Stegostoma tigrinum: one gene and its partners. Each later gene encodes a partner of the first gene's protein in a complex. Links are inferred from orthologs where the notes say so. Each region holds a gene or a part of one and is shown in the gene's direction. Other genes may lie near its edges.

Region 1 (7,481 bases):
AGTACGCCGGTTGGAGAACCGTGAAACCCCTCTTTGAGTCTCCGGGCGACTGGTGGGAGACGGTGAAGGAGAACATCAAGAGGTTCTTTGTCCTCAAGGGTGTTCGGAAGGCGAGAGAGCGGGGAAAGCTGTCACGACTCCAGAAAAGGGTGCAGAACCTGCTCCTTCTGCAGTTGATGGGGGTCGATGTCACAGAGGTCCTCCGCGAGGTGAGGGGCCAGCAAGCCTCGCTCTTCGCCGCGGAGGCCTCCAGGATAATCTTCCGGTCCAGGGTCCGCTCCGTGGAGCAGGACGACACATGCTCGCGTTTCTTCTTTCAGAAGGTGCACAAAGAGAGCTCTGTGCTTAGCCGGCTGAAGGAGGACGACGGCTCGGTGACGTCGTCTCGGCCCGACATTTTGAGGATCAGCAGATCCTTCTATGCCGGACTGTACAACACGACGCCCATGGACAGCACGGCCTCCGAGTCATTCCTGTCGTCTCTCACGGAGGTCTTAGACATGGCACGAGGGAGTGGCTGGACCGGCCGATATCCCTGGACGAGCTGACCAGAGCCCTCAAGTCCTTGGAGAGGAATAGGACTCCTGGAAGCGACGGCTTACCGGTCGAGCTGTGTTCCACTCTGTGGGACCTGGTCGGCCAGCACCTGCTGGAGGTGTACGATAGTGCGCTTCGGGCAGGGGAAATGTGCAAGTCCATGAGGAAGGGCATCATCACCCTCGTTTACAAGAAGAAAGGGGAGAGGGAAGAAATTAAAAATTGGCGTCCCATTTCACTATTGAATGTGGACTACAAAATCCTGGCCAATGTCATAGCCAACCGGGTCAGGTCTGTCCTGGAGTCGGTGATTCACCCTGACCAAACCTGTGCTGTGCCAGGCAGGAAGATCGCTGAGAGCCTCGCGCTCATCAGGGATACGATCACCTACGTACAGGACAGGCGGGTGGACAACTGCCTCGTCAGCCTGGACCGAGAGAAGGCCTTCGACAGGGTCTCTCATGCTTACATGAGGGACGTCCTCTCCAAATTGGGGTTCGGGGAGGGCATCCGCAATTGGATCCGGCTGCTCTACGCCAACATCGTTAGCGCAGTCTCGATCAACGGGTGGGAATCAGACAGTTTTCCTGTTAGATCTGGAGTCAGGCAGGGCTGCCCGCTCTCTCCTGCCTTGTTCGTGTGCTGTGTGGAGCCCTTCGCTGCATCCATCAGGAAGGACGTGAGCCTGAAGGGCGTGACTATCCCAGGCAGCGGAGGCCTTCAGGTCAAGACCTCCCTGTACATGGACGATGTCTTCTGCACCGATCGTTGGTCGGTGAGTAGACTATTGGACATCTGCGGCCAGTTTGAACTGGCCTTGGGTGCCAAAGTCAATAGGGGTAAGAGCGAGGTCATCTTTTTCAGCAACTGGGACGATCGCTCCTTCATCCCCTTCACCGTCAGGACAGATTACCTGAAGGTGCTGGGTGTTTGGTTTGGTGGAGCTGGGGCGTGCACTAAGACTTGGGAGGAGCGTATCACCAAATTGAAGCAGAAGCTGGGCAGGTGGACGCTCCAGTCCCACTCCATTGTGGGTAAGAACCTGGCTGTCAGGTGCGAGGGGCTTTCGGTACTGTTGTATGTGGCGCAGGCCTGGCCTATTCCCTGGACCTGCGCCGCTGCAGTCACCCGGGCCTTCTTCCACTTCATTTGGGGGTCGAGGATGGACCGGGTCCGCAGGGACACCATGTACAAGGACCTGGAAAATGGGGGGAAAGGGCGTACCGAACGCCACCCTCGCCCTGACAGCTACCTTTGTGTGCGGCTGCATCAAGCTGTGCGTAGATCCTCAGTACGCAAACACCAAGTGTCACTACTTACTGAGGTTCTACCTGTCCCCGGTGTTGCGAAGGATGGGCCTGGCCTTGTTGCCGCGGAACGCTCCGAGTAGTTGGACCATTCCATACCACCTGTCCTTCGTGGAGAAATTTTTGAAAGAAACACCTTTGACCACAAGGCCGTCAGGCAGCGGTCAGCACGTAGTATCCTCGAGACCCTTCGGGAAAAGGAGAGGGTGGATCCCGTCGTGTGGTTCCCCACGCAGACTGCTAAAGTCGTTCGGCAGAATGCCTCATCGCCAGAACTTTCAAACAAGCACAAGGACATTGCTTGGCTGGCGGTGAGAGGGGCTCTGCCAGTGAGATCCTTTATGCATGCCCGGAATCTCTGCGCCACCGCACGCTGCCCTTGAGGTGGCTGCCGGGGAGACGAGACTGTTGATCACCTCCTTCTGGAGTGTGCCTATGCGCAGGAGGTCTGGAGGGGGATGCAGTGGTGTTTGTCGAGGTTTGTCCCGAGCAGCTCCGTGACGCGGGACTCCGTGCTCTACGGGCTGTTTCCCGGGACGCACACCGAGACCAACATCAACTGCGCCTGGAGGACCATCAATGCGGTGAAAGACGCTCTTTGGTCTGCCCGCAACTTGCTAGTCTGCCAGCTGAAAGAACTGACCCCGACCGAGTGTTGCAGACTGGCGCACTCCAAGGTCCAGGACTACGTGCTGAGGGACGCGCTAAAGCTTGGGGCAGCCGCCGCCAAGGCGCGGTGGGCAAGACCACAGTATGAAACCCCTCATCCAGAATAGAAAAAAGGGCCGTATCTGGTAAATGGGCCCAGCTGGCGCCTTCCCCAACTGGTCAGGGAGCCAACGGGGACTGTGCGGGGGTGACGACTGCTGGGGTGTTTTCTTTGCTTTATTTTTTCTTTTGTTTTTTTTTCCTTTAGTTGGTGTATGTACCCCCTGGGTCACCCGGAGCGGCTTGCATGACTGGGTAGGTGTGTAAATATGTTTTATTTTTTGTACATCTTATGAATCAAGTATATTTTTTCAAATAAAAAAGTGACGAAACGTCTGAAAACTAACCTTCCAGCTCAGCGAGCAAACTCACATCCAGAACCTCAACCTGACCTACAAATCTTCTCAAAACTCGCTGGCACAGGATCAATGAGATTAAAGTCATATACATGTGACTCAAAGATTGGTATGGGAAAAACGGGTTCAAATTCATGGGATATGGAACCAGTGGTGGGGAAGCACCATTATGTAAGTTATCGGAGCAGAATTAGCCCACTGTGCCTGCTCTGCCATTCAATTGTGGCTGATACGTTTCTCAAATCCATTCTACTGCCTTCTCCCCATAACGTTTGATCACTGTACTGATCAAGAATCTATCTCTGTCTTAAAGAAACACAATGACTTTGCCTCCACAGCTACTCACTGAAATTTAGAAGAATGAGAGGTGATGTCATTGAAACATATCAGATTCTTAAAGTGCTTGACAGGGTAATTCCTGCAACGACATCTCCTCTCATGAGAATGTCAAAGACTAGAGGGCATAGTCTCAGAATACAGGAATGGCAACTGAAGACTGATTTGAGCAAGAATGTTTTCTCTCAAAAGGTTGCAAATCTTCAGAATTCCTTGCCGCACACAGCAGTCCTTGTGGAGGGATTTTCTACTCAACCTGTTAGAGAGGTTATTACTGGAGCAGGTGGAACGTGAACTTGGGTCTCCGGGCAGAGAGAATAGGGACACTACCAGTGTTGCATAGAACCCTATATTTAAGGCTCAAATGCATTCTTGATCAGTAGGGGTATCGAGGGTTTTGGGGAAAGGGCAGGAAAGTGGATGTGAGGAGTGTAAGATCAATCATGATCCCATCCAGTGGCGCAGCAGACTCGAGGGCCGAATGGCCTACCCCTGTTCCTCTTTCGAATGGTCTTACGGTTTTAAGAATGAAGACAAAACGACTGCACTGAGCAAAATTTTTCTTGCAGACTATGCATGTTACAGGAGAAAAGAAGCCGAGATCGCTGGAAAATATAAGGGAGAAAATTGCTGTCGGGAGATCTGGAGAGATTATTATTCGTCCAGAAGACAAGTGATATTAAGAGGTGCAGTAGGGAACAGAGAGATTAAAGCGGCGAACCCAGCACTGAAAAGCCTTTTTTTGGCCTGGAAGCAAACAGTATGAATAACTCTAGCAGCTTGAACTAACAGAAAACGCCGGCATCTATTTTCATGTTTGACAGGTTGGGGTGAGGTGGTGCCCTCTGATGGTGTCAAAAAGCTCATTGCGTCCTATTCAACCTTCCCTGTCCTGACTTCAGTTGGCCAAGTCTCCAGCTGATGCGGGATAAGCAGTGATGCCCGGTTTCTGCCCCTCGCAGTAAAGAGCATCGGACCAATTTAACTGCCCGAACTCCCCCCAGATGGAGGGAAGGGTAAAAGAAATTGTGGGTAAAGTGTCGAAAATGGCGGGAGACAGCCAACGGTTGCTATCTTCCAAGGGGGTGAGATAACCGTTGTTTACGGTGGCGACAGAATTAAACAAATAAATAAAAAGTAAACAATACTGGCCATGTTTCAGGAACTCACCTGTCGCCAAAGGGAAAATTAAACTGGCGTTGAGAAACGATGCGGGTTTCCCGTTCCCATGGAGACCGTTGGGCTTTGACCCGGAAGGCGAATCCGCGGCGGCCGGAGGTCAGGTTTGAGTGCCATCCGGCGGCGGAGGCATCGCCAAGCAGCAATGGCGGATGTTACTGCTCGTAGCCTGCAGTATGAGTACAAAGCGGTGAGTGCTGTCGGTGTTGAGGATCGATAACCCTCGGTTTGATCCCCTAGACAGGCTGGATACAGTCGTGCGCGGGCTTGCATGGCCAGAGCTGAATTGGGCGAGTACAGTGCCACTGTTAAGCACACCGCCAGGTTGAGGCCTAGCCCTTGCTGTGGTGAATGCGACATAAGAACTGGGTTGGCATCTCTGTTGAGCTGAAATCAGGAAATTGAAGGGACCTCCAGGCAACCTAGGAACACGTCTCTAGAGCCCTTGTCATTGTTATCGAATTGTTTCTAATGGCTTTTTATTTTCATTCTTTGTCTTAAATGAGTACACAATTTATGTCCCAGTTCCATCCCACAACAAAAAATTAGTATTGGGCAATTTTGAAATCAGATTCTCGACAAAAATGAATGCTGGTTTTTTTTGGAAATGCCAATCGACCCTCAACTTCTCGTGAAAATCCTCTAAAATCAGTAATTTTGGAAGGGATACAGGGAAATATGTGTAATTCCCAACTTTGCTCAAGGACTGGAAATTTTGCATGGTTTACACCCAAGTGCAATACTGACAGAGATAGTGGGAACCACAGTTGCTGGAGAATCCCAAGATTACAAAGTGTGGAGCTGCATGAACACAGCAGGCCAAGCAGCATCTTAGGAGCACAGAAGTTCCTGCTGTATTCGTTCAGCTCCACATTTTGTTATCTTGCAATACCGACAGGTTTGTGCAAACCGCTCCATATGAGAATAAGACTAGTTTCTTCATTCTTTTTGCAGAACTCCAACCTTGTATTGCAAGCAGATCGTTCACTGATCGACCGAACAAGACGAGATGAGCCCACAGGAGAAGTGCTGTCTCTGGTTGGAAAGCTCGAAGGGTCGCGAATGGGAGACAAAGCTCAGAGAACAAAGCCACAGTTGCAGGAGGAAAGACGAGCAAAGTAAGGACATATCTTGTCAAATATCACAGTTTATTTGGAGTTGGGAGCAGAGTTATACTAATAAGCTATCTTTATGAACTAAAAAAGTTTAATCCTGAATGATAAAATGTTTTTTGGTAAAATGCAGGTAAACAGACAAGGTGGGTCAATCAGTTCAAAGCACTTGATATTTTGGTTTACTGAAAAATTTTAATGCTTCACAATGAGCAAAGGTGTCAGATTAAACAAGAAATTTAGACCTGAGGTGATAGTAAAATAATCATTCCACCTCATGGTGGGAAACATATGACTTTGGTGCATGGTGTTATTTAATGTAAGCAACATTATGAACATTTACAAGCATTTGTTTCTCAACAGTCCACATCCTAGTCTTTACATTCCACAGATTATATCTTGCTCTTAACTCAAAAGAACCATGAAGGTTCAGAACAGGTATCTACTCATTCATAGGATAGACAGGTTTTCGGTGTCTCGGGGAATTGAGGGATGTGGGGAATTGGCAAAAGAGAGGGTCACTCCACAAAGCGACTAGTCCAGTCCGGCTCCTGTCTATCATTTTCAGTGGTGTACTGAAATGTTGAATAAGTGCCAAGGCTTTCTTTACTCATTGTAATAGTAGTTGAGGGAGGTTTGCAGTTGAGCATGTCAAATTTCAGTCGTTTGGAGCTTCCTATTCTGCACAGGGGAGATTATTTGTAATCAGATTGGGCACTTTTCAACCCATCCTTTAGATTGGTGGTTTTGTGCACAAATATATATTTGTGCTCTGGTTAAGTGAGAATTCTTACTTGAATTTCTTGGCTGTTAAAATGTTTTGAATTTGTCTCATGCAGAAGGAGAAAGCGTGATGAAGACCGACATGACATGAACAAAATGAGGGGATACACTTTGTTGTCAGAGGGCATTGATGAAATGGTTGGAATTGTGTACAAACCCAAAACAAAGGAGACCAGAGAGACCTACGAGGTGTTGCTCAGTTTCATTCAGGCTGCACTTGGTGACCAGGTGAGAGTCTCCAGTGAAAAAATATCCCAGACAGATCCCCTGCTACTAAAAGTGATGGACATAACTGATCTCTTTAATGATTAACTAATTTTAAGATCTACTACATCACAGACAGGATGCCACTTTATGCAAAGGGGATGGTTTCCATTTGTCTTGGCTTGTTTCTTGGGATGTTGATGTTTCAGCACTTCCACTGCATGCATTTGTCTTCCTTTAGGTTCTTTTACTTTTAACCTGATTTGTACCTGAGACTTAGTCAAAGTTGATTGACTCCGTTCCTTTGATTTCTTTGACTCTTGCTCTTTGAGGCGTTCTGTACCACGGCCAGTGTGGAAGTAGGCCATTCAGCTTATCGAGGCCATACCACCCCTCCAAAGAGCATCCCACTGAGATCCATCCCATTCCCTTAACCTTGCATTTCCCATGGCTAACCTACCTAGTTGCACATCCCTGGACACTTCGGGAAATTTAGCATAGCCAATCTACTCAACCTGCACATCTTTGGACTGGGCAGAAACCGGAGCACCTGGAGGAAACCCAGTTAGACACAGGGAGAATGTGCAAATTGTACACAGACAGTTGCCCAACGCTGGAATTGAACCCGGGTCTCTGGCAGTGTGAGGCAGCAGTGCTAACCACTGAGCTAACATGCTGATTTGCCTGCCCTACTTCCATATGACAGATGCATGTGCCATAGACAGCGTGAGCAGTAATTCATCAATGATCACTTTAGAGGTTGAACAAGGAAGATAAATTGTTACAGGGAGACGTATTGCATCTGCATTAGCTGGCAATTTTTCTATATTGATTGGGCTTTTCTTTCTAGCCACGTGATATTCTCTGTGGAGCAGCAGATGAGGTCCTCGCTGTGCTGAAAAATGATAAACTGCGTGACAAAGAGCGACGGAAGGAAATAGAAATGCTCCTGGGACAGT
Region 2 (7,526 bases), on another chromosome or scaffold:
ACATAATGCTTCTCTGGCCGTGACTTTACTCGTTCACTTCAATTGTCCTAATCACGTTGAAGCTTCTCTGCTCACAGGTTGCCTTCCCAGCCATCTTTATGTCCTCTGCAGACTTGGAGATATGATACACAGTTTGCTCCTCCAAAACCATTAATATATATTGTGAATAGTTGAGATACAAACACTGATCCCAGTAGGCATTGGTGCCACTCAGAAAAATTTAATTCCTATTCCTTGTTTCCTGTCTGCCAGTCAGTGCTCAATCTATTTCAGTACACAACCTCAGATCTCATGCACTTTGATTTTACATATTCATGTCTTTTGTGTGGAACCTTGTCAAAAACAATCTAAAAATCCAAGTAAACCCCTTCCAATGGCTCCTCCTCATCCACTCTAGTTAAATCTTCAAAACGTTCCAGCAGATTTGTCACGCACATCTTCCCCTTCATGAAACTGTGCTGACTCTGTCCTCCTTGTCACTTCCAAATGCTGTGCTATTACATCTTTTACAATGGATTCTAATGTTTTTCCCACTACTGATGTCAAGCTAAATGATCTAGAATGTGTGTTTTCTCTGTGCCTCCCTTCTTTAAAATGTGGGTTTCATTAGCTATCCTCTAATCTGTAGGCCAAGCAGCATCTCAGGAGCTCTCTGATGAAGGATCTAGGCCCGAAACGTCAGCTTTTTTGCTTCTGAGACGCTGCTTGGTCTGTTGTGTTCATCCAGCTTCACACTTTGTTATCTTGGACTCTCCAGCATCTGCAGTCCCCATTATCTCTAATCTGTAGGAACTGTTCCAGAGTCTGTAGAATGTTGGAAGATGCACATCTGCTATTTCTGGGGCAACTTCCTTAGTATTCTGGTATGAAGGTTATCAGCCTCCGGGCAGCCACTCCCCGCCCTCACATCCACCCCATATTTGGAATGTTTGTGTTTTCCTTTTCAAAGACAGAACTAAAGTATGTATTTGATTGGTCTGTTTTTTTGTTCCCTTTTTATAAATTCCCTTTGTCAGTCCCTATGTCTCCCTGTATTAGAATTTAAACTCTCTCAATCCTCAGATCTGCTGGGTTTTTTATTTGGCCAATTTGCATGCCTCCCTTTTTGGATTTAATACTAACTCTAATTTCTCCTCTTAGTCAGAAGACATTTCCTGTTTTGTTTTTATACCAGACTGGGATAAATAATCTTTACAGTTCATCCATGAGCTCTTGAAATTTTTGCCATCACCTGCCTGTCATTATCCCTTTTAAATAATAATCCCCAATTTGTCATAGCTAGATCACATCTCATGCCAACATAATTTCCTTAATGAGCTGGGCATTAATAACAACTCCCCTAAATGCAGTACAACATCAAAGTATTGGCCTATTTAATGTGTTAAGGAGACTGGTATGGGGCTAGAACCTGTCATTTTCTGATTGAAGTGAAAGTGCAGTTGCAAAATTGTCGAATTGTATAGTGCAGAAGTCCTTTGACCCATCAGATGTGCATCTACCCATGAGAAGGACCTGACCTTCATTCTGATTCCAATTATCAGCACTTGGCTCATAGCCTTGAATGCAGTAATGTTCCAAGAACATATCTAGGTACTTTTTAAAGGATGTGAGACAATTTGCCTCTGCCAACCTGCTTGGCAGCACATTCCAGACCACCGTCATTCCCTGGGTTTAAAAAAACGAGGTTTTCCTTCCATCTCCTGTAGCCTCTTGCCCCTTACCTTGAACCTGTGCGTCCTCTCGGCTAACCGTTTAACTGAGTGCAACAGCTGCTCCTTATCCATTCTGTCCATGCCCCTTAGTTTTGTACACTTCAGTCAGAAGACCCCTCAATCTTACGCCCCAATTAAAAAAAACCAAGCCTATCCAGCCTTTCCTCAAACTTAAATTTCCCATCCCAGGCAGCATCCTGGTGAATCTCTGCTGCGCACTCTCCAGTTCCTATAACGTGGTGACCAGAACTGCATGCAATGTTCTACCTGTGTCTCACCAAAGTTCTTTACAACTCCAACATGACTTCCTTGCTTTTGTATTTTATGCCTCGATTGATAAAGGCAAGTGTCCTGTATGTCTTTTTCGCCACTTTACAGACATGTCCTTGGGTCTTCAGTGGATAAATACTCCAAGGTCCCTTTGTCCACAGAACTTCCTGGTGTCATTCTGATGATTGAATACTTCTTTGTCAGATTACACCTTTCAGATCGTATTAACTCATGCTTTTCATGGTTAAGTTCCACCTGCCATTTATCTGCCCATTTGAGTATCCTGTTTATATGCTTTTATCACTCAAGACACTCAAGCTCACTGTTAGGCATCTGACCCATCTTTGAATTTTCCGCAAACTTACTAAACCAAACCCCCGCACAATCATCTAGTCATTTATGTAAACGGCAAATAAAAGAGGACCCAGCACACCTGCCTGTGGTATGCCATTGGTTACTGACTTCGATTCACTAAAGCAGCCTTCTACATTCACCCTCTGTCTGTCGCAACTGAGTAAAGTTTTAATCCACTTTATCAGATTACCCTGTATCCTGTGTGCATTTGCCTTCATGATAGGTCTCCCGTGTGGGACCTTGTCAAAGGCTTTGCTGAAATCCATATAAACTGCAGCAACTGCACCACCCTTTTCTATACACTGGTCACCACATCAAAAAATTCAATCAAATTTGTTAGCATGATCTCCCTCTGCCAAAGCTATGCTGACCATCTCTGATCAAACCTTTCCTCTCCAAGTGGAGGTAGATGCTCTCCTTCAGGGTTCTTTGGCTTATTTCTGCAACCTTCCTTAAATATCAGAACCACGTTAGTCCTCTGGTACCTCACCTGGAGCCAGAGAGGAATTAAAAATTTGGGTCAGTGGCATTGCAATCTCCTCCTTGTCCTCCTACAACAGCCAAGGACACAATTTCATTTTTTCCTTTATTCATTCATGGGATGAGGGTGTGGCTGGCTTGGCAGCATTTATTGCCCATCCCTAATTGCCAAGAGGGCAATTAAAAGTCAACCACATTGCTACAGACCTGGAGTCACATGTAGGCCAGACTAGCTAATGAAGGTGGTTTCCTTCTCTAGAGGACATTAGTGAACCAGATGGGTTTTTCCAACAATGACATTTGATCCATGGTCATCATTAGACTCTTAATTCCAGATACTTATTAAATTCAAATGCTACCATTGGCCATGGTGGAATTCAAATCCAGGTCCCCAGAACATTATCTGGGTCTCTGGATTAACAGTCCAGCGATAATACCAGTAGGCCTTTTTGTTTGGACCCAGAGATTTGTTCATCTTTAAGCCTGCCAGCACCTCCAAAACCTTGTCCTTCCCTATGGCAATTTGCTCAAGCACCTCGCAGTCTCTTTCCCCCAGGGTTCTATATCTTCATCTTCATTTTCTTAAGTGAAGATAGATGATATTGGGTCACGACTTTACCTTTGTCCTCTGGCCCCAGCCACAAATTGCCCACTTGTTCCCTAATGGGGCCTGCTCTCACCGTGGTTACACTCTTTCCCCCTTGATGTATTTATACTTGTAGAATATCTCTTGGTGTTTTCCCTACTTTTACCATATCCCCTTTTGCTTTCCTAATTGCCATTAATCTCCATTAATGCCTCTGCTTGTGCCTGCCTCTTTTCTCCCTTCTTATCGTATCCTGAATATCTCTGATCATCCATGGTTCTCTGGGCTTGTTATTCTTTCCCGTATCCCTGGAGGGAACATGTTAGGCTTGTACCCTCTCCATTTACTTTTTGAATGTTCCCCACTGTTCTTCTGTAGTTTTCCTCACTAGTCTACCAGATCCTAATGTATTTTACTAAAATCTGCCCTTTGCCTCCATCCAAAACTCTTTTTTTCTTGCAAGTTACCTATTTCTTTTTCTATATTCAGCTTAAATTATACCATGTTGTGATTGCTATCACTAAAATGCTCCCTCACCACCACCAGAATTGGGACCAGGACCCTCTGTATATTGGCCTAAAAGGTTCTCCTGTACATATTTCAAGAAATTCACTCAATCCAAGCACTTAACATTATGTCTATCCCAGGTAATGTTGGGAAAGTTGAAATCACATGTTATAATTATCCTTAGTTGTTATTTTTACACACATCAACAAATGGTGCAAAAATTTGCTCCTCAATTTCCTGTCAGCTCTCTGGGAGTCTACAATAAACACTTAGCAATCCAGCTGTCCCTTTTTTATTCCTAAACTCTACCTACAAAACTTCATCCACAATTTAAATAACAAATTATATTGAAGTTCTCTTTCTTTCCTGGAAGTATCCAGCTTTTACTCTGCAATTAATTTAAATTACTAAATTTAAATTGATGCTTTTGGAGATAAAGAAAGAATTTTCTGCTAATACTAGCCACTGCCTTTTTGCTTGTCATTCACTCATCCTCTTTCTCACTAGTGCTCTCAACTGATGATAACAGTTTGTTATAATTGTAGAAGCCCATGTCAGTTCTTTGCAAAGTTGGTTCTGAATTATGTGTGCTTGTATTGTCATTTAGGAAATGTTTCTGTTCTGATGCAGGCTGAAGGATTAAAAAAATGAGCCTGCGAAAGCAAACACCAAGTGATTTTCTAAAACAGATCATCGGGAGACCAGTGGTAGTCAAACTGAACTCGGGCGTGGATTATCGAGGTACGGTAAGCCCTCACTTAAAATTGTATTTGAATTCCTGAAAATTTCAACTTCAAGTGAAATAACTGAGTGAACCATGAGTTGCCATAGGGATCAGGTTTAAAACTACTGTTGGGACCTTTTGGACATTCGTTCCTGGACAAACCAAATGAACAAGTCAAAATAGCATTTTTCACATGTGCAACACTGCATTCCTATTGAAATAATTTGCAAAACAGAACAAGTCATTTGAAATGTTAAAGAAATTCTATATAAATTGAAGAGGGCTATGCAATAAGAGCCAGACGTGAGAATACATGTGGTTGGATAGCTGCTTCAAAAGCCAGCACCAAAGTGATAGGCCGAATAACTTTCTTTTGTGGTGTAAAATTTTGATTAGTCCATGATTCAAGAGAAGTTAAAGGAAGGTCCCTAATCCTAGTCCACTATCCCTTAATCTAACTTCCTCAGGTAGTCTTATTGTATTTTCTTCTGTAAGCTTCTGGAACCTTTTCCCCTTCCCACCTCGTATAGTGCTTCCAGTCTTACAGTGAAGTGCATTTTTAAAAAAAATCACAGAATGCTGTATTTTCATTTTTGCATTTTTTAATCTCCTCCATATTTAGTGTGTAGTTGCCCTGATGATTTTCTTTCTGTCATTATTAGCTCTTAGGACAAAACATTTAATCCTGTACCATGGATATAAGCCCTACAGTCCCTTCAAATGAATTTCCAGTCTTCTTTGCCTGAATTTCAATAGATTGTCATAATATAAAAATTCACTTGTAACCTAATTCACAGCTATGATGTTCAACTTCAGTGTTGCACGTTTCTGTTGGCAAGTGCGTTCACAAACTTGGTAAAATCAGAAGTCATGCCGTAAATTGATTAGGGAAACAGGCCTTGAAGAATAAATATCTTTAAAACAAAACAATGCGAAACAAAACCACTTAAAGTGAGGACTTACTGTATTGGAATCGTCCCCCTCAGCTGCTTAAACGCTAGTTTAAAAAAGACCGGGTCACAAAATCACCGAAGACTTTTTGGCAAAGAAGGAGGCCTTCTATCTGCACTGTTAAATGAGCATCATTACCCAGAGCTGATTTCCTGCTTTCCCCCCAAGCCCTTGCATATAATTTCAGCTGGTGAGTTCATGAATGCCTCAATGGAACCTAATTCCACCACAATTCTAGGCAGTAAATTCCATACCCTAACTGAAGGAAGGTAATTTTCCTCACTTCACCCTTGCTTACTTTGCACTCTAGATCACTTCATATCTATGTTCTTGAAACAAATAAGAACAGTTTCTCGCTGTCACTCTCCTGTCTAGCCCTTACATGATCTTGAAAACCTCTATCAGATCTACGCTTAGCCTTTTACAAATCGCTTCAGCAATTTGTTCAATGTGTTCACATCTTTCCGATAACATGGCACCCACAACTGTACCCAGTACTCTAGCAGAGGTCTAACAAGTGTCTATATAAGTTCAGCATCACCTCCTTGCTCTTGCACTCCACTAATTAATCTGTGGCTACTGTATGCTTTATTTATTGCTCTCCCTTTATCTGTCCTGCCACTTTCAAAGATCTGTGCACATACACACCCAGGTCCCTATGCTCTTGCATCCTCCATAGTGTGCCTACTATTTAATATTGGCTTTCAATGTTCTTCCTACCAAAGTGTTTCAACCTGCACTTCTCTGCATTGAAATGCATCTACTGCCCATGTGCCCACTCCACCAACCTTTTCCGCACTATATATCTTTTGCAAGCTTTGAAATTGCCCCTGCACATCAAGATCCAGATAATTAATATCTATCAGGAGAAGCAAGGGCCCCAATACTGACCCCTGGGGATCTCCTCTTAAAAACCTTTGCCCAGTCTAAAAATATATTACTCTATTCATTTTGCTAGTGACCCTTTTATAACATGAGCTATAACTTTCCTCACAGGTCTGTGTTGTGGCACTGTACCAAACACCTTTTCAATATCCGTGTGCACCACCTCAACAATGTTATCTTCTTCAAGCATTTTTGTTTCCTGTTCAGAAAGCTCCAAGTTAGTTTAACACCATTTTCCACTTTAGGAAGAATCAGTGTGGATTTCTAATCAACCCGCCATTTTCCATGTGTTTATTAATTCTATCCTGAATAATTGTCTCAAAACTTCCCCAATGCTGAAATTAACCTGATTAGTCTGTAATGATTGGCTTATCCTTGGCATCTCCTCCAAGACCAGGGGAGACTGAAAGATTGTGGCCAGTACCCCTGCAATTTCCACGCTCATTATATAAATGATGAAAAGTAATGGACCCAACGTTGACCCTTGTGGCACACCACTGGCCACAGGCCCCCAGTCTGAAAAGCAACTGTACATCACCACCCATGATCTTCTACCTTGGAGCCAGTTCTGCATCATTGCTATGTTACACCGAACATTCTAATAATGGGTTTTAATAAATTTTAATTACAGTTGTATCATTTTTGCCAGGTGTTTTGGCCTGTCTGGATGGTTATATGAATATAGCATTGGAACAAACAGAAGAATATGTAAATGGTCAACTTAAGAACAAGTATGGAGATGCATTTATTCGAGGCAACAATGGTAAATTCACTTCTTTCCTTTCTAAATAAAATTTGAAAGTTATGCTTTATAATGGACTGTAAAACTACAACTGTATATTGAGAAAGTTTTTGAAAAAAAGCATTCTTCCCAGGACTGATTAGTTGCTTGCATGACTCTTTTGTGCTTTCTGTCTGACACTGTTTCTTTCAGTATTTTGTTTCTGTATCATTTTCTGTCTCTTTCCTGAAGAAAACCATGCTGTTTGTTTTAAAACACACTAAATCCTTGATGCCCATGAGGAATAGAGCGTGGACCTCCCACAGATACCCAAAA
Region 3 (7,582 bases), on another chromosome or scaffold:
CATTGTGGGTCAATCTGCAGCATGTGGACTGCAGCAATGGCTTAAGATGATTCGTCTGGTTGTTCATGTTCACTTGTTCAGAATTAAGTGATCTGTTGTGCATAGGTTCCTCAATGCAATAACCAGCTCTGCATTGTAAAGACTCCGCAGTTCATCAAGATGAAATTTGACACTCTGCCATTTCACTGTCATTTTTCACTCACGCCTGTCTCAACTTCTGCTTTCAAAAGATTTTCACAATTGTAAGAGGAATTTGGTGCGACGTGATATTAGTCTTTGTGCTGGACTACTTTCCATGCCTCCTCTAAGCACATTGTCCATTCAAAGATTACCTTGTGCAAGTCTGTGCTGGATTTCTCAATTTCTTCAGTTTTAGATTTGATTCGCTAGAGTGTGGAAACAGGCCCTTCGGCCCAACAAGTCCACACTGACCCTTGAAGCATCCCACCCACACCCAAACCCTAAAACCCACACACCCCTGAACACTATGGGCAATTTAGCATGGCCAATCAACCTAGCCTGCACATCTTTGGACTGTGGGATGAAACTGGAGCACCTGAGGAAACCCATGCAATCACGGGGAGAACATGCAAACTCTACACAGACAGTCGCCCTGGACTGGGATCGAACCCTGGTCCCTGGTGCTGTGAGGCTGCAGTGCTAACTACTGAGCCACCGTGCCACCTATATTCCTTTGGCGATTTTCACTGCTACCTGGCCTTTCCATTTGAGTGGGAACGGCGTAGTGATGTTGTATGGTGTTAAATTGACCTATCCTTTGTGAAGTGCCTGAAGTCTCCCCTTGGAAATTGAGGGCCATTGCCACGTATCACAATATCTGGAATGCTGTAACAACTAAAGAATGCTTTCAGGTATTGTATAATCTTAATATTAGTTGTTAATTTCAGTCAATATAAATCCCAGTAGAGTAATTAATGGTGACAAGATAAAAAGACAAGCCCCTGTGAGAGTGGAGGAGCCTACTACAAGCTTCATCCATGATCAGGCTGGGATGTGATATGACCAGCTTTTGACATCCAGTGATGTTACCATCACTGAATCCCCCATTATCAACTTTGAAGGGGTTACAATTAACCAGAAACTCAACTGGGAATTGCCACATAAAAGCCTGTCCACCATCAACAAGGCACAAGTCAGGAGTGTGATGGAATACTCACCACTTACCTGGATGAGTGCAGCTCTAACAACACTCAAGAAGCTTGACAACATCCAGGGCAAAGCAGCTGCTTGATTGGCACCATTTCAACAAGCTTCCACTCCCTCCACCACCCATGTTCAGCAGCAACAGTGTGTACTGCTTACAAGATGCACAGCAGATTATTCACCAAAGATTGTTAGTCAGCACCTTCCACACCTACTATAATTTTGATCTAGATGAACAAGGGTAGCACCACTTAATGCATGTTCCCCTCCAAGACACTCTCCGTCCTGACTTGGAAATATCTTGGTGTTCATTTAGTGTTCATGTGTCAAAGTTCTGTAATCTCCTCCCTAATGGCATTGTGGGTCAACCTGCAGCATGTGGACTACAGCGGTTCAAGAAGGCAGATCACCACCACCTTCTCAAGGGCAAGTAGGAATGGGCAAGAAAACTGGCCAGCCAGCGATGCCCAATTCATGTGAGTTATTTTTAAAAAAACCATAAAACCATCAGAAATAGGAACAGGGATAGGCCATTTGACTCCTTGAGCCTGGTCTGCCATGCAATCGGATCATGCTGATCCAATATGCCTCACATCCAATTTTGTCCTTTTTCCATGATCCTTGATTCCCTTGGTGATCAAGAATCTATCAACCTCAATCTGAAATATACACAGAACTCTGCCATACAGCTCTCTGTAAAAAAATTCCAAAGAATTTTTGCCCACTTTCTTAACCATCAATATTTCTCTGTAAACTGTTTGTATCCTTTCTGGAATCTGTCTTTCTACCTATTTCCGTGTTGTCTGCAAACTTGGCTGCAGAACATTCACTTACTTCCTCCAAGTCGTTAATATTTATTATGAACAGTTGCAGTCCCAGTACTCATCCTTGTAGAACCCTATGACCGACAGCCATACTAGTATGAAAACACCCAATCTTGTCTGATCTCGGAAGCCAGGCAGACCCAGGCCTGGTTAGTACTTGAATGGGAGAGCACCTGGGAATACCAGGTGCTGTACCCAGATCCTGGGGCAGGTTAGGCAGAGACAAGCACAAGAATTCCTAGAAGTATGGCACTCCAAAAGCCTGCTATTAATAAACACATTGAACTCAACCCCATTTCCATTCCACTACGAAGGAAAAACCAGAAGTGAGGTAATCCATCGCAACGGACCCCAGAGTTTAAAAACTAGGTGGGGAAACACACCGACGCTTAATTGGAGGCTGCACTGAAGATGTTAACCAGCACAGTAATGAAACATCTGCAAAACAAGAAACCAGCTGGGCGAGCCATCCAACCTCAACAACCTCAATTACACACACTCATGTTGCTTCAATCTTGCAGGAAGTTTGTCATGGTTGTCAGCAGCCCTCAATCAAGTGAAGGGTGACAGCCTTCAGTCAGAGGCTACCAAAATAGTAAATCAAGGAAAATCTCCAACACCAGTCCAAGGACATAGCACGGTCAGCCACCTGGAGCAAAGTCAGCATCCTTTCCTCATTGGGGGTAAGCACCTGACTGCTGGCCAGTCCACCACCAGTCTTGACCATTTCTTTTCCATTGTAGACTGTTTTTCTCCTGGAATGAGAGAGAGGCAGGTACTAAGGCAGATGAAGCTGGGTGGCACACTTACATTTTTTACTTGTGGGGAGATGTCCTGGTCGAGGGAGTAGACAGCACCGAGGGCATGCAGGCATAGAGATGCTGGGGTTTAGTGGGATGATAGCGAGTGAGGGAAGATGTTGCAGGCCTTTGTGGGAGGTGGGTACAATAGCTGGGACTGAGCGAGTGTGAGATTTGGAAAGAAGATGGTTGCACTGACTCTGGCAGGCAGGAGAAGGACATTGACTATACATTCCCGCAGACAGCTGATACTGCTTTAACCGGGCGGCAATTTTAACTGGGCGGCAATATTGGACCAGGCTGCTTGTTCTGGGACCATGCTGTCCTCTCCTGGAGAAGTGGAAATACCAGCTTTACATCTCTCTTTCCAATGCAATCTCCCAAGTCTTTGCTTGCAAAGTGAGGGACCGGTTTCCCCTATAACAAATTGTGAAGCTGGATGAACACAGCAGGTCAAGCAGCATCTCAGGAGCACAAAATCTGATGTTTCAGGCCTAGACCCTTCATCAGAGCAAGTCTAGCAGACTCTAGGCCCGAAACATCAGCTTTTGTGCTCCTGAGATGCTGCTTGGCCTGCTGTGTTCATCCAGCTTCACACTTTGTTATCTTGGATTCTCCAGCATCTGCAGTTCCCATTATCACTGGTTTCCGCTTGTCTGTTATGCCAGGGACGAATATCAGGAACTGTGCACACCAGCTCTAGGTGCCTGTCTGGGTGCACAATGGACTTTCGAAGATGGAGTAGGTGCAAGGGATTTTGGTTAATTTCAGGACATCCCATGGGTGGCTGAAACAACATGTGGCATGATGGAAGTGAAATTGAGCACAATTTTTTTCACCGTGTTGGGGGCTGGAGGGGATGATGGTGGTCAATGAGTTGAGTTTGGTAAGATACCCACTATCTTTGTGATGAAAAGCTCTCTAAGAACACATAAAACTCATATTTAGCCAAACAAATTTAAGATTCAGCTCTATATTTCAAATGATGCTGATTCAAATGACTGCCACAGATTGTGTGTAAGGACACTTTCAGTGGAAGTAGTGATCACATGATATTGTCAGCCCACCCTCTACACCAAGGTTACAAATGTATTTCTGCAAAAGGACTTATTTATGAGGATGGCAATGTACCAGCAACATGTGGCCTGTACTATGACGTTCAAGTCCACCCTAAAGTTAAGGTTTGGGCCTCATTCATCTTCATGTGAAAAGCTGATGGCAGCCGCTGTGTCTCCTCATAATGGTCATCCATTTTGGAAGAAGTCTAATTTTGGCTCATTTGCCTCACCAGTTGCAGACCAAAGCCAAGGAGTAAAAGAAAGATGTTTGGGGATTGGGGAGTGGTTATCCATAAAGTGGAATTAGTTGGTCAGGTTCGGTTAGAGATGTTGCGGCCCCGTGTATCGTTTAGACTACACGGGTTAAGTCTCTTGTAAGACGAGTCATTGCAAAGATTTGAAAAAAAATGCATATGCTCCAGAGTGAAATTTGTTATCAAGACTGCTCAAAGACGTATAAATGCGTGACACAAGACTGAAGTGGATCATATTATTAAATGGAAATTTTATGAGATTCAAGCCACTCAGGCAGCACGTGTTTGAATTTAACTTGTTGTTCTGTTGCTACAGTATTTGTGAGTGAGTGCTCAGACAGAACAGCAAATCAACGTCTGGTTCCGTCTCCCGGGCTGCGAGGCTTCGGCTGTTTCCGCAACAGGGGCTGCGAGCGCTCGGCTATTTCCGCCATGCGGCCTGTGCGGCCTCGGCTGTACCCGTGTACCGGAAGCTCCTTGAAGAACGAACGGGTAAACCGGAAGTGGGTGATCCGGCAGCCCCTCCACAGACAGACAAGATGGACGCGGGGTTTTTCCGCGTAAGTAGAGCAGCAACCGAGTAGAGCTTGTTTGTCGAGCCCGATTGGAAAGCTCATCCATTGTAGTGGTGGCCGGAACAATTCAAAGGACCGGCGGACCTGTTCTGGTTGTTTTAAATGCATAAAACTCGGGTCTTTTCCCTGAATACACGTAACTGCGGATTCGGCCTTAGCAACCGAGCGGGAATGAAAATGGCGGCGGGTGGCAGGCTTTTGATGGAGGGGAGGGAGGCAAGGGAGCCGTACTGTGGGTTTGGTTTTTGTCTCTCCAGCTCATCTGTTCGTCTAATTTAATTCATTGCACCTTGAGTGTAGCTAGGGAGCAACATGTCTCATTTTAGTTCTGGACGAAACCCGGGCAATTTTATTTTCCTTGAGGGATCGGTTCTAATGCGGCAGCCAGTGGAGCCGAAGCCCAGCAAAGTGCCTGACCGACTCTTAACACAAATCTTAACTCCGTGGTTCGAATCTTAATCCGGTTCCTCCCTGTTGTTTTTTGGAGCTCTTCTGGCTTTTGCACCGAATGTTTCAAACGGTATTTTTGTTTCTGAGGCGCAATTGAATGACTCCATTAGGGCCTGGTTCTCCAGCATGGTCGCAAATAGAGCGTCGTGTGGTTCGAGGCTGAAAAATGGACCCAAGCTATCTACCACGCGAGGGGAAATACAGTCACCTTTAAACAATCAAAGTACTCGTTCGTTTTAGATATAATAGACATCCAAGCGAATTCATGACTCGATTAATTTCAAAGCAGATATAATCCGAAGTAACACTTCAAATATTTTATTTGGAATTAGAGATAAAATTGCTTTAATGTAGAACAGATTATCGGGTGAGCGAGTTACAGTTTGTGCTGGATTCTAGATTTGTGTTTTTTGTTTAAAAATTCAAACTAGATTCAGTAGTAAAACGTCTTTAACTTGCTGCAGTATTGTATTGTTTCCCTTTATTCTGACCAGAACATTGTATGATTGGAAAGTCCAGATTTGTATGGTACATATCAGACATTTAAGTGTTAATACAAATTGTAAGTAATGAAAATGGAGCAAGTTGCAATTTATTTTTGGAACTGTTTGACACTCAAAAACTTGTTCATCCCTTCAGTGCGTTGCTTTTATCATGCTATCTGACGTTTTGGTTGACAGTTTTTGCTTTTTGGTGACACATAGTAAAAGCTGGTTTCTTCTATTTTGGCCATTTCAGAAAATCTAGTGCTTAGCTTATCATTAATTTGTTGCAAAATAATCTTTTTTAAGAAATGAAAAATAATCACAGAAACAAGTTTGGCAGTAGCAGAGAGTAAATTTATTTCAGATCTATGATCTTTCATCAGAGGTAGGGGGAATGTGATAGGTTTTTTAAAAGTGAAGTGGGGGGAGATTGATGAAAGGCTAGATCTGATAGCCTAATCTATCCCACCTCCTACCCTATTTAATGGGATGTGGGTATTGCTATGAGGCCAACATTTATTTCCCATCTCTCATTTCTCTTGAGCTGAGTGACTTGCTGGGCTGTTTCAGTAGCTAGGAATCAACCACGTTGGCCAGACCAGGTAAGGATGTTGATTTTTAATGGCAATTGATACTTTTATGATTGCCAGTGCTGAAACTAGTTCTGTATTTCAGATTTGAATGCACTTTTGCTGGATACTAACTGATTTTTGGATTACTTTATCCATTAAAATTAATGACAGCACTGTATCTTTTTAAATGACAAAAATGATCTTGCAACAAAACTAATGGGATTGATAACGGAGTAAATAAAAACAAAATGTGCCTTGGGGCGATGTGATTGGTAGGATCATAAAATCCAAAAGAGAGCCAAGATAAATTAGAAACAAACCTGCAAGGGGAAAGAACAGGACCAGAGGTTATGATCTAAAGCCCCTAATTAAAGCATAAGATGATGATCCTTGAGCTAGTCTTGGAATGCATCAGATGACTGACAGTGGCAAAAATCAACGGGAATAATTTGTAGATTTAAAATGATCAGTGACTGGAAGCTTAGGGCCATGTTTTTGGACTGACTGTAGAAAGTTGTGCAAAGGGCCTGCTTGATTTACATTTGGTTTCAGTATGAAAAATTATCCACATTGTCAGTGGAATAATTAATTGAAATTTCAAGTAAATTGATATTTCACCTGGAAGCATTGTTTGGGGGTTTTGAAGATTACAATTGAGTTAGAGAAGGGTAGGTATTTTATTATGCATGAGGGTTGTGGAGGTGACTGAGTAGTAGGTCTCTAAGTTGCAGAGGACATAATCCTTTTCTATTTATTTGTGAGATGTGAGCATCACTGGCTAACCAGATTTATTGACCATCCCTAGTTTCCCTTGTAAAGGAGGTGGTTAGTTGTAGCCTTGAACTGCTGCAGTCGCTTGCTGCGCGTTGACCCACACCACCCTTGGGACAGAATTCCAGGAGTTTGACCCAACAAAAGATATATTTCCAACTCAGGATGGTGAGTGACTTGGGGAACCTGTTGATGTTCCTGTGGGTCTGCTGCCCATTTCCTTCTAAATGGAAGAGGTTGTAAGTTTGGAAAGTACTGTCTGAGGATCTTCAGTGAATTTCTGCACTGCATCTTGTAGATAGTACACATGGCTGCTAATGATTGTCAGTGGTGGAGGGAGTTGATGTTTGTGGATGTGGTGCCAATCAAGTGAACTGCTTGTGTGTTGTCAGAGCTGCGCCCATCAGTCAAAAGGAAAGCATTCCATTACATTCCTGACATGATTTGAGGTGTCTGGCAAGTAACTCACCTCCTTAGAATTCCAAGCTTCTGACCTCCCCTTGTAGCTACTGTTTATGCGGTGACTTCAGTTGAGTTTCTGGTCACTGGTAACCACCCAGATGTTGATAGTGAAGGATTCACAATGTCAAGGGGTGGTGGTTACATTGTTTGTTATTGGCGATGATAAT
Region 4 (7,998 bases), on another chromosome or scaffold:
AGTGTGGACAATGAGAGCCTTTTTCCTAGGATGGTGATGTCTAGCACAAGGGGACATAGCTTTAAATTGAGGGGTGATAGATATAGGACAGATGTCAGAGGTAGGTTCTTTACTCAGAGAGTAGTAGGGGTGTGGAATACTCTGCCTGCAACAGTAGTAGACTCGCCAACTTTAAGGGCATTTAAATGGTCATTGGATAAACATATAGAACATAGAACATTACAGCACAGTACAGGCCCTTCAGCCCTCGATGTTGTGCCGACCTGTCATACCAATCTGAAGCCCATCTAACCTGTACTATTCCATGTACGTCCATATGCTTGTCCAATGATGACTTAAATGTACTTAAGTTGGCAAATCTACTAGCGTTGCAGGCAAAGTGTTTCAGTCCCTTACTACTCTCTGAGTAAAGAAACGACCTCTGACATCTGACCTATATCTTTCACCCCTCAATTTAAAGCTATGCCCCCTCGTGCTCGCCGTCACCACCCTAGGAAAAGGGCTCTCCCTATCCACCCTATCTAACCCTCTGCTTATTTTATATGTTTCAATTGAGTCACCTCTCAACCTTCTTCTCTCTAACGAAAACAGCCTCAAGTCCATCAGCCTTTCCTCGTAAGACCTTCTCACCATACCAGGCAACATCCTAGTAAATCTCCTCTGCACCCTTTCCAAAGCTTCCACATCCTTCTTATAATGCGGTGACCAGAACTGTACACAATACTCCAAGTGTGGCCGCACCCAGAATTTTGTACAGCTGCAGCATAACCTCTTGGTTCCGGAACTCGACCCCTCTATTAATAAAAGCTAAAACACTGTATGCCCTCTTAACAGCCCTGTCAACCTGGGTGGCAACTTTGAAGGATCTGTGTACATGGACACCGAGATCTCTCTGCTAATCTACACTACCAAGAATCTTACCATTAGCCCAGTACTTTGCCTTCCGGTTACTCCTACCAAAGTGCATCACCTCACACTTGTCTGCATTAAACTCCACTTACCACCTCTCAGCCCAGCTCTGCAGCTTATCTATGTCTCTCTGCAACCTACAGCGTTCTTCGTCACTATCCACAACTCCACCGACCTTAGTGTCGTCTGCAAATTTACGAACCCATCCTTCCACGCCCTCATCCAGGTCATTTATAAAAATGACAAACAGCAGTGGACCCAACACCGACCCTTGCGGTACACAACTAGTAACTGGTCTCCAGGATGAACATTTCCCATCAACTACCACCCTCTGTCTTCTTTCAGCAAGCCAATTTCCGATCCAAACTGCTATATCTCCCACAATCCCATTCATCCGCATTTTGTTCAATAGCCTACTGTGGGGAACCTTATCGAATGCCTTGCTGAAATCCATATACACCACATCAACCAGTTCAATCTCATCTACCTGTCTGGTCACCTTCTCAAAGAACTCAATAAGGTTTGTGAGGCACGACCTACCCTTCACAAAACGGTGCTGACTATCCCTAATCAATTTATTCTTTTCTAGATGATTATAAATCCTATCTCTTATAACCTTTTCCAACACTTTACCAATAACTGAGGTAAGGCTCACTGGTCTATAATTACCAGCATTGTCTCTGCTCCCCTTCTTGAACAGGGGAACCACATTTGCTATCCTCCAGTCGTCTGGCAGTATTCCTGTAGACAACGACGAGTTAAAGATCAATGCCAAAGGCTCGGCAATCTCCTCCCTGGCCTCCCAGAGGATCCTAGGATAAATCCCATCCGGCCCAGGAGACTTATCTATCTTCACACTCTGTAGGATTTCTAATACCTCTTCCTTGTGAACCTCAATCCCACCTTGTCTTGTAGCCTGTATCTCAGTATTATCCTCAACAACATTGTCGTTTTCTAGAGGGAATACTGTCGAAAAATATTTATTTCGTGTTTCCCCTATCTCCTCTGACTCCACACACAACTTACTACTACTATCCTTGATTGGCCCTAATCTTACTTTCGTCATTCTTTTATTCTTTAAATACCTATAGAAAGCCTTAGGGTTTTCCCTGATCCTATCCGCCAACAACGTCTCATGTCTCCTCCTGGCTATTCTGAGCTCTCTCTTTCGGTCTTTCCTGGCTACCTCGTAGCCCTCAAGCGCCCTAACTGAGCCTTCACATCTCATCCTAACATAAGCCTTCTTCTTCCTCTTGACCAGAGATTCCACTTCCTTCGTAAACCACAGCTCCCACACTCTACAGCTTCCTCCCTGCCTGACAGGTACATACTTATCTAGGACACACAGGAGCTATTCCTTGAATAGGCTCCACATTTCTAATGTGCCCACCCCCTGCAGTTTCCTTCCCCATCCTCTGCTCCCTAAATCTTGCCTTATCTCATTGCAATTGCCTTTCCCCCAGCTATAACTCTTGCCCAGTGGTATACACCTATCCCTTTCCATCACTAAAGTAAACATAACAGAATTGTGATCGCTATCACCAAAGTGCTCACCTACTCCCAGTACCAAATCAAATGTGGCTTCGCCCCTTGAAGGCCTATCTACATACTGTGTCAGGAAGCCCTACTGCACACACTGGACAAAAACTGACCCGTTTATAGTACTCGAACTATAGTGTTCCCAGTCAATATTTGGGAAGTTGAAGTCCCCCATGAAAACTACCCTGTCTCTCTCACTCCTATTGAGAATCATCTTTGCTATCCTTTCCTCTACATATCTGGAACTATTCGGAGGCCTGTAGAAAACTCCCAACAGGGTGACCTCTCCTTTCCTGTTTCTAACCTCAGCCCATACTACCTCAGTTGACGAGTCCCCAAACATCCTTTCTGCAACTGTAATACTGTCCTTGATCAACAATGCCACACCTCCCCCCCCTTTTACCATCTTCTCTGTTCTTACTGAAACATCATAATCCCGGAATGGGATTGATATGGATGATAATGGAATAGTGTAGGTTAGATGGTCTTCAGATTGGTTTCACAGGTTGGCACAACATTGAGGGCCAAAGGGCCTGTACTGCACTGTCATGTTCAATGTTCTATCTATTGTTATTTGGATCATAATCTGCCTTCCTAGTTTTGCTACCAAAGTTAATAACTTCACATTTATCCACATTATACTTAATCTGTTATGCATTTGCCCATTCACTCAACTTGTCCAAATCACATTGGAGTATTTCTGCATTCTCCTCACATTTCACTCCCCAATTCAGCTTTGTGTCCTGTATAAATCTGAAGACATTATATGTAGATTCCTCATTCCTTTACATTGTGAATAGTTGAGGTCCCAGCACAGGATCCTGTGGTAGCTCATTAGTAATTGCCTTCCACTTGGAAAAAGGCCCATGTTTCTCTGCCACTGCCGGCACCTTCCCCTGCAACCGCAGGAAGTGCTACACTTGCCCCCACACCTCCTCCCTCACCCCCATCCCAGGCCCCAAGGTGACTTTCCATATTAAGGAGATGTTCACCTGCACATCTGCCAATGTGGTATACTGTATCCACTGTACCCGGTGTGGCTTCCTCTACATTGGGGAAACCAAGCGGAGGCTTGGGGGACTGCTTTGCAGAATGCCTCTGCTCGGTTCGCAATAAACAACTACACCTCCCAGTCGCGAACCATTTTAACTCCTCCTCCCATTCCTTAGACGACAGTGCCACAATGATGCCACTCGAAGGTTGCAGGAACAGCAACTCATATTCCGCTTGGGAATCCTGCAGCCCAATGGTATCACTGTGGACTTCACAAGCTTCAAAATCTCCCCCTCCCCAAATGCATCCCACAACCAGCCCAGCTCGTCCCCTCCCCCCACTGCATCACAAAACCAGCCCAGCTCGTCCCCACCTCCCTAACCTGTTCTTCCACTCACGTATCCCCTCCTCCCACCTCAAGCTGCACCTCCATTTCCCACCTACCAATCTCATCCCGCCTCCTTGACCTGTCTGTCCTCCCTGGACTGACCTATCCCCTCCCCACCTCACCACCTATTCTCTCCTCTCCACCTATTTTCTCCTCTATCCATCTTCGGTCGGCCTCCCCCTCTCTCCCTATTTAGTTCAGAACCCTCTCCCGTCCCCCTGTCTGATGAAGGGTCTAGGCCCGAAATGTCAGCTTTTGTGCTCCTGAGATACTGCTTGGCCTGCTGTGTTCATCCAGCTACACACTTTGTTATCTTGTTTCCTGTCAGCCAAACACTACCACAGTACACTACCCCCTATCCAATGTGCTTTAATTCTACAAGCTAAGCTCTTATGGGACCTTATCAAAATTCAATGTAATTTACTGTATGCGCATTAATGCATCCAATTTAAAATTCCAATCAATCCCTTGTCCATCTTGATTTCCGTAAACTTTTCCAATCCTACAATTCCCTTCAACATCGCCATTCCTTTAATTCTGATCTTTTGTGTATTCCTCCACTCTTAGCTGCAGCAAGGTAGCTCTGCTTTCATCCACAAAAACAAAGTTGCTGGAAAAGCTCAGCAGGCCTGGCACCATCTGTGAAGGAGAAAATAGGGTTAATGTTTAGGGTCCAGTGACCCTTACTTAGAACTTTCAGCCAACCTGCTACTGCACTCTGGAATTTCCGATTTTAATCTCTTTGCTTTTCCTAGTTCCTTCAAGATCTATTTTTATCATCTCCCTAAGCTTTTGGTCGCACCTCCTGTTCCTATCATGTATTCATGTTTGAACTGAGTGTCCAATACACCCCTGTATAGTATCTGAGACATTTTTTGTTAAGATAAATGTTCAACATTGCCTTGGTTGTGCACTGATGTTTCTTAATTGAAACAGTTGACACGGAATCCAGCTTTTTTTTAAACTCTTTTTCCTATTTTCAGGTGGTAGCACAATCATTGTGCACTTCACTGTAAAGTCTGATTTAATCTTCTTTCAATGCACTTGTTTTCAAAAGTCTACCTGGAGAGTTCTGTGTTCTGAGTGGCTGTAGCGGTCATCAATCCGACTGACTGACCAATGGGAGGCTCACACGGACAGCGGAAATCCCGCCCTCAGCATCCGGGCACCCTGCGCTGGAGCCACTTTTGCTGGCGGAGTTAATGGCGCCGAGGCCCTGAGGCCTAACGCAAGGCCAACGGGGAGAAAAAAAAATCGTCGCTCGCATTTTTTCCTGTCGTCGCAGGTGCGTTCAGCGTAGGCATTTCTGTGCGCTCTGGGCATATGGGTCGGGATTTAGGCTGGAAGTGAGTGGAGGTTGAGCCCCAGGGACTCGGCTCGGCGTGCGGCCTAATGGGTTTCTATTGTGGCGCTCGGCAGGCGAGGGAGGAATCGGTCCAGGACACCTCAAATATGGACTCGCTGGACTGGAACCTTCCAGGAGAAATCGTAGGGTTTTCTTTTTAATAGCACGGAAGAAGGGCTGTTCGTGTCTGTGCATCCCACGTCTAGGATGAAGGGTCTAGGCCCGAAACGTCAGCTTTTGTGCTCCTGAGATGCTGCTGGGCCTGCTGTGTTCATCCAGCCTCACATTTCATTATCTATTCACTGCAATCCTGTTTTCCAGCATTTGGCCCGTAGCCTTGTGTGCGATGGCGTTTCAAATGCTCGACTAAATGCTTCTTGAATGTCTTGATGGTTCCTGCCTCGACCATCATTTAGCCAGTGCCTTCCAGGTACCCATCACACTCTGGGCGGATGAAACTTTTTCCTTAAATTCCCTTTCAGCCTCCAGATCCTTAACTTGAATCTGTGCCCCCTAGTTATTGATGTCTCTATTAAGGGCTTGTGTTTCTCCCTACGTCCCTCAACTTTCATACACCGCGATCACGGTTCCCCAATCAGCCTTCGCTGCTATAAGGAAAACAACTCCTGCCTATCTAGTCTATCTTCATAGCTGAGGGGTTTCTCAAATATTCTGGTTAATATGTATAATAATTTACTAATATATATATGTATGACTCCATTATAGCCACCTTCCTGTTGTATTCAATACTTTGAATAATAAAGATACATACCTGATATCATTCATAACATCTGACCTGCTGCCTACATGAATATATGGACTTGCATACCAAGGTTCCCGTGATCCTGGGTATTTCCTTAGGTTCTACCATTCAACGGAAGTGTAAATTTTCTTCCCCTTTGTCCACTAACTTCTCTTCCATCAACCCCAGCGTTCACTCCAGAAGAGCATAACGTGATCTGTTTGCATAGTTTATTATTCAACAGGATTAATACTGCACATATTTCTTGCTAAATATATTTTAGACCAATGTAGCATAATCTGTAAGACTATTCACAAGGAGGATGCAGGCAAATTTGAGCCTGTATCTCAAAGGGAATCTTAATAAGGGAGAGGAGAAAAAGAAGAATTTTGGGAGCAAGTGGGACTCATTGGTACAAAAAACTTCTGTGGATGCTGGCAATGGGTTAGGCAGCATAATGATTACAAAAAGTTATATGTCAGGCTGATCTTTTGTCACAATCTATACCCAGCTCTCTCAAACAATTGCATGGATTGCCTCCTCCTGTATTTTATGATTGTAAAACTTAATAACATTTTAGGCATAGATTTAAATCCCACTTTCAAGTGTACATTTTTAAATGTAATTGATGGGGTTTAGGTGTTGCTGACTAGGCTAGCATTTTTATTGTCCATCACTAATTGATCTGGAGAAGGTGGAGTTGAGCTGCCTTTATGAATTGCTGCAGTCATTGGGTATAGGGATACCTTCAGTGCTGGTAGAAAGGCAGTTCCAAGATTATGACCTAGAGGGTAATGATCTGGATCTCAGTCAGATGGTCACACATGTTGGTTTTGGTATGTGGGGTCTGGGCCCGAGACGTCAGCTTTCGTGCTCCTATGATGCTGTTTGGCCTGCTGTGTTCATCCCGCTCTATACCTTGTTATCTGTTTATTTGGAAATGTAACTTGTTTATCATAACTTCTCCAAGAAGTCAGCACAACATCGTGGGCTGAAGGGCCTGTTCTGTGCTGTACTGTTCTATGTTCTATGTTCTATAATGCTAGACAATCTTGTCAAAATCCTGGATGTTCCATTTTCTTCCAAAGGTTGAGCTACTGAATAGCCATAGACAAGATTTTCCACTTGCTGCAGAGTTCTGAAATATTACGACTGTTGCCCAAAAACGTGCTTGGTCCTTAGGGAGTTGGTGTGTGTTGACATCAAAATTTGATGCAGGTCATGTTTGGTATAGAAGTTGCTGATTCTGGGAATCGAAGATTACTGAAATGCTGTCACTTGGCCAGGCAGTATTTTTAGAGAAGCTTGGGTTTTGTAATATGGTTAAGGTTTGCATGGTGTTGTTTAAAATAATCTGACTTCATTAGTTTTATCTATCATTTCAGAGAGCATGTGTACATTAATAAATGCATCAGCCATTCTGTACCAAAATCTAAAACAACACAATGAGAAAAATAAACTTTTTTTTGGGATTGGTCAAGAGAAGTCTCTTGCTGAGAGCACCAAAAGAGTTGCGTGTATCAGTTCAAGCTATGCAAGGGAGCATGATGTTTGCTCCAGGTTTTTATGCTTTGTTCGACATGACTGTCATATGGGATTATGAATTCATGTTCCATTTTGAAAGGCAATTCCTTAATCTTTTGGCTCATTTCAAAATCTGAGCAACTGAAGCTGACATAGTAACTTGAACATCAGTGTTCCATGAGAAATGTTGATTTTATTTTTACAAAATATTATCTAAAAGTCTGACTCCCAATTTGTATATTCAAAAACATTCAAAGAAAGTCTCAAAATGGATGTTTCAAGTGCAAACAATTGAATATACAGATGTTGAATGCTTTATTAAAGCAGTTTATTGCATGTACATCCACGGGTATGCATTAAGATAATAGGGCAAAACGTTTAGCATACTAAATGTATTTATCTGGGTGAAATGTTATGGATCAAAAGCATCTGCTAAAAATGGAAAATTTTTTTCAATCCTCTGATCTACTGTTGTGGATTGCAGCTCAAGTTGTGTGAATATGAGATTTGGATGTCAATATATGTGACCGTATTTATATGTAATCAGAGCCGGTTTAA

Evidence for each region.
Region 2: snrnp200 (region 1) and lsm6 share a complex: the UniProt entries of both Homo sapiens proteins name them as parts of the U4/U6-U5 tri-snRNP complex. The link is inferred for Stegostoma tigrinum from reciprocal best matches to the Homo sapiens genes SNRNP200 and LSM6.
Region 3: snrnp200 (region 1) and srrm1 share a complex: the UniProt entries of both Homo sapiens proteins name them as parts of the minor spliceosome. The link is inferred for Stegostoma tigrinum from reciprocal best matches to the Homo sapiens genes SNRNP200 and SRRM1.
Region 4: the proteins of snrnp200 (region 1) and prpf8 are in contact, whole or in part, in a cryo-EM structure (PDB 7OS2), measured with the Homo sapiens proteins. The link is inferred for Stegostoma tigrinum from reciprocal best matches to the Homo sapiens genes SNRNP200 and PRPF8. Residues at the interface, in NP_054733.2 of Homo sapiens: Pro543, Met544, Arg545, Ser546, Thr570, Gly571, Thr589, Glu591, Lys592, Ile595, Arg624, Arg728, Lys729, Glu773, His786, Ala787, Thr814, Glu837, Tyr992, Thr1008, Ser1010, Ile1012, Leu1041, Glu1042, Arg1043, Val1044, Pro1045, Ile1046, Pro1047, Val1048; in NP_006436.3 of Homo sapiens: Trp2073, Arg2074, Ala2077, Ile2078, Ala2081, His2084, Asn2109, Lys2113, Tyr2168, Glu2171, Met2172, Arg2266, Leu2268, Gly2269, Phe2270, Gln2276, Arg2287, Leu2298, Ala2299, Asn2300, Glu2303, Glu2307, Arg2310, Pro2311, His2313, Phe2314, Leu2315, Asn2316, Phe2317, Ala2318.

What each region holds. Positions count from the first base shown.
Region 1 is NC_081393.1:10,285,248-10,292,728, forward strand, and holds the start of snrnp200 (U5 small nuclear ribonucleoprotein 200 kDa helicase), read left to right. Parts: upstream 1-4,481; 5' UTR 4,482-4,568; coding exon 4,569-4,613; intron 4,614-5,377; coding exon 5,378-5,541; intron 5,542-6,374; coding exon 6,375-6,546; intron 6,547-7,372; coding exon 7,373-7,481. UniProt on the Homo sapiens protein: Catalyzes the ATP-dependent unwinding of U4/U6 RNA duplices, an essential step in the assembly of a catalytically active spliceosome. Plays a role in pre-mRNA splicing as a core component of precatalytic, catalytic and postcatalytic spliceosomal complexes.
Region 2 is NC_081354.1:46,941,637-46,949,162, forward strand, and holds the start of lsm6 (U6 snRNA-associated Sm-like protein LSm6), read left to right. Parts: upstream 1-4,516; 5' UTR 4,517-4,556; coding exon 4,557-4,650; intron 4,651-7,118; coding exon 7,119-7,232; intron 7,233-7,526. UniProt on the Homo sapiens protein: Plays a role in pre-mRNA splicing as component of the U4/U6-U5 tri-snRNP complex that is involved in spliceosome assembly, and as component of the precatalytic spliceosome (spliceosome B complex).
Region 3 is NC_081377.1:23,968,493-23,976,074, forward strand, and holds the start of srrm1 (serine/arginine repetitive matrix protein 1), read left to right. Parts: upstream 1-4,572; 5' UTR 4,573-4,639; coding exon 4,640-4,660; intron 4,661-7,582. UniProt on the Homo sapiens protein: Part of pre- and post-splicing multiprotein mRNP complexes. As a component of the minor spliceosome, involved in the splicing of U12-type introns in pre-mRNAs. Involved in numerous pre-mRNA processing events.
Region 4 is NC_081380.1:24,517,618-24,525,615, forward strand, and holds the start of prpf8 (pre-mRNA-processing-splicing factor 8), read left to right. Parts: upstream 1-4,988; 5' UTR 4,989-5,114; intron 5,115-7,998. UniProt on the Homo sapiens protein: Plays a role in pre-mRNA splicing as core component of precatalytic, catalytic and postcatalytic spliceosomal complexes, both of the predominant U2-type spliceosome and the minor U12-type spliceosome.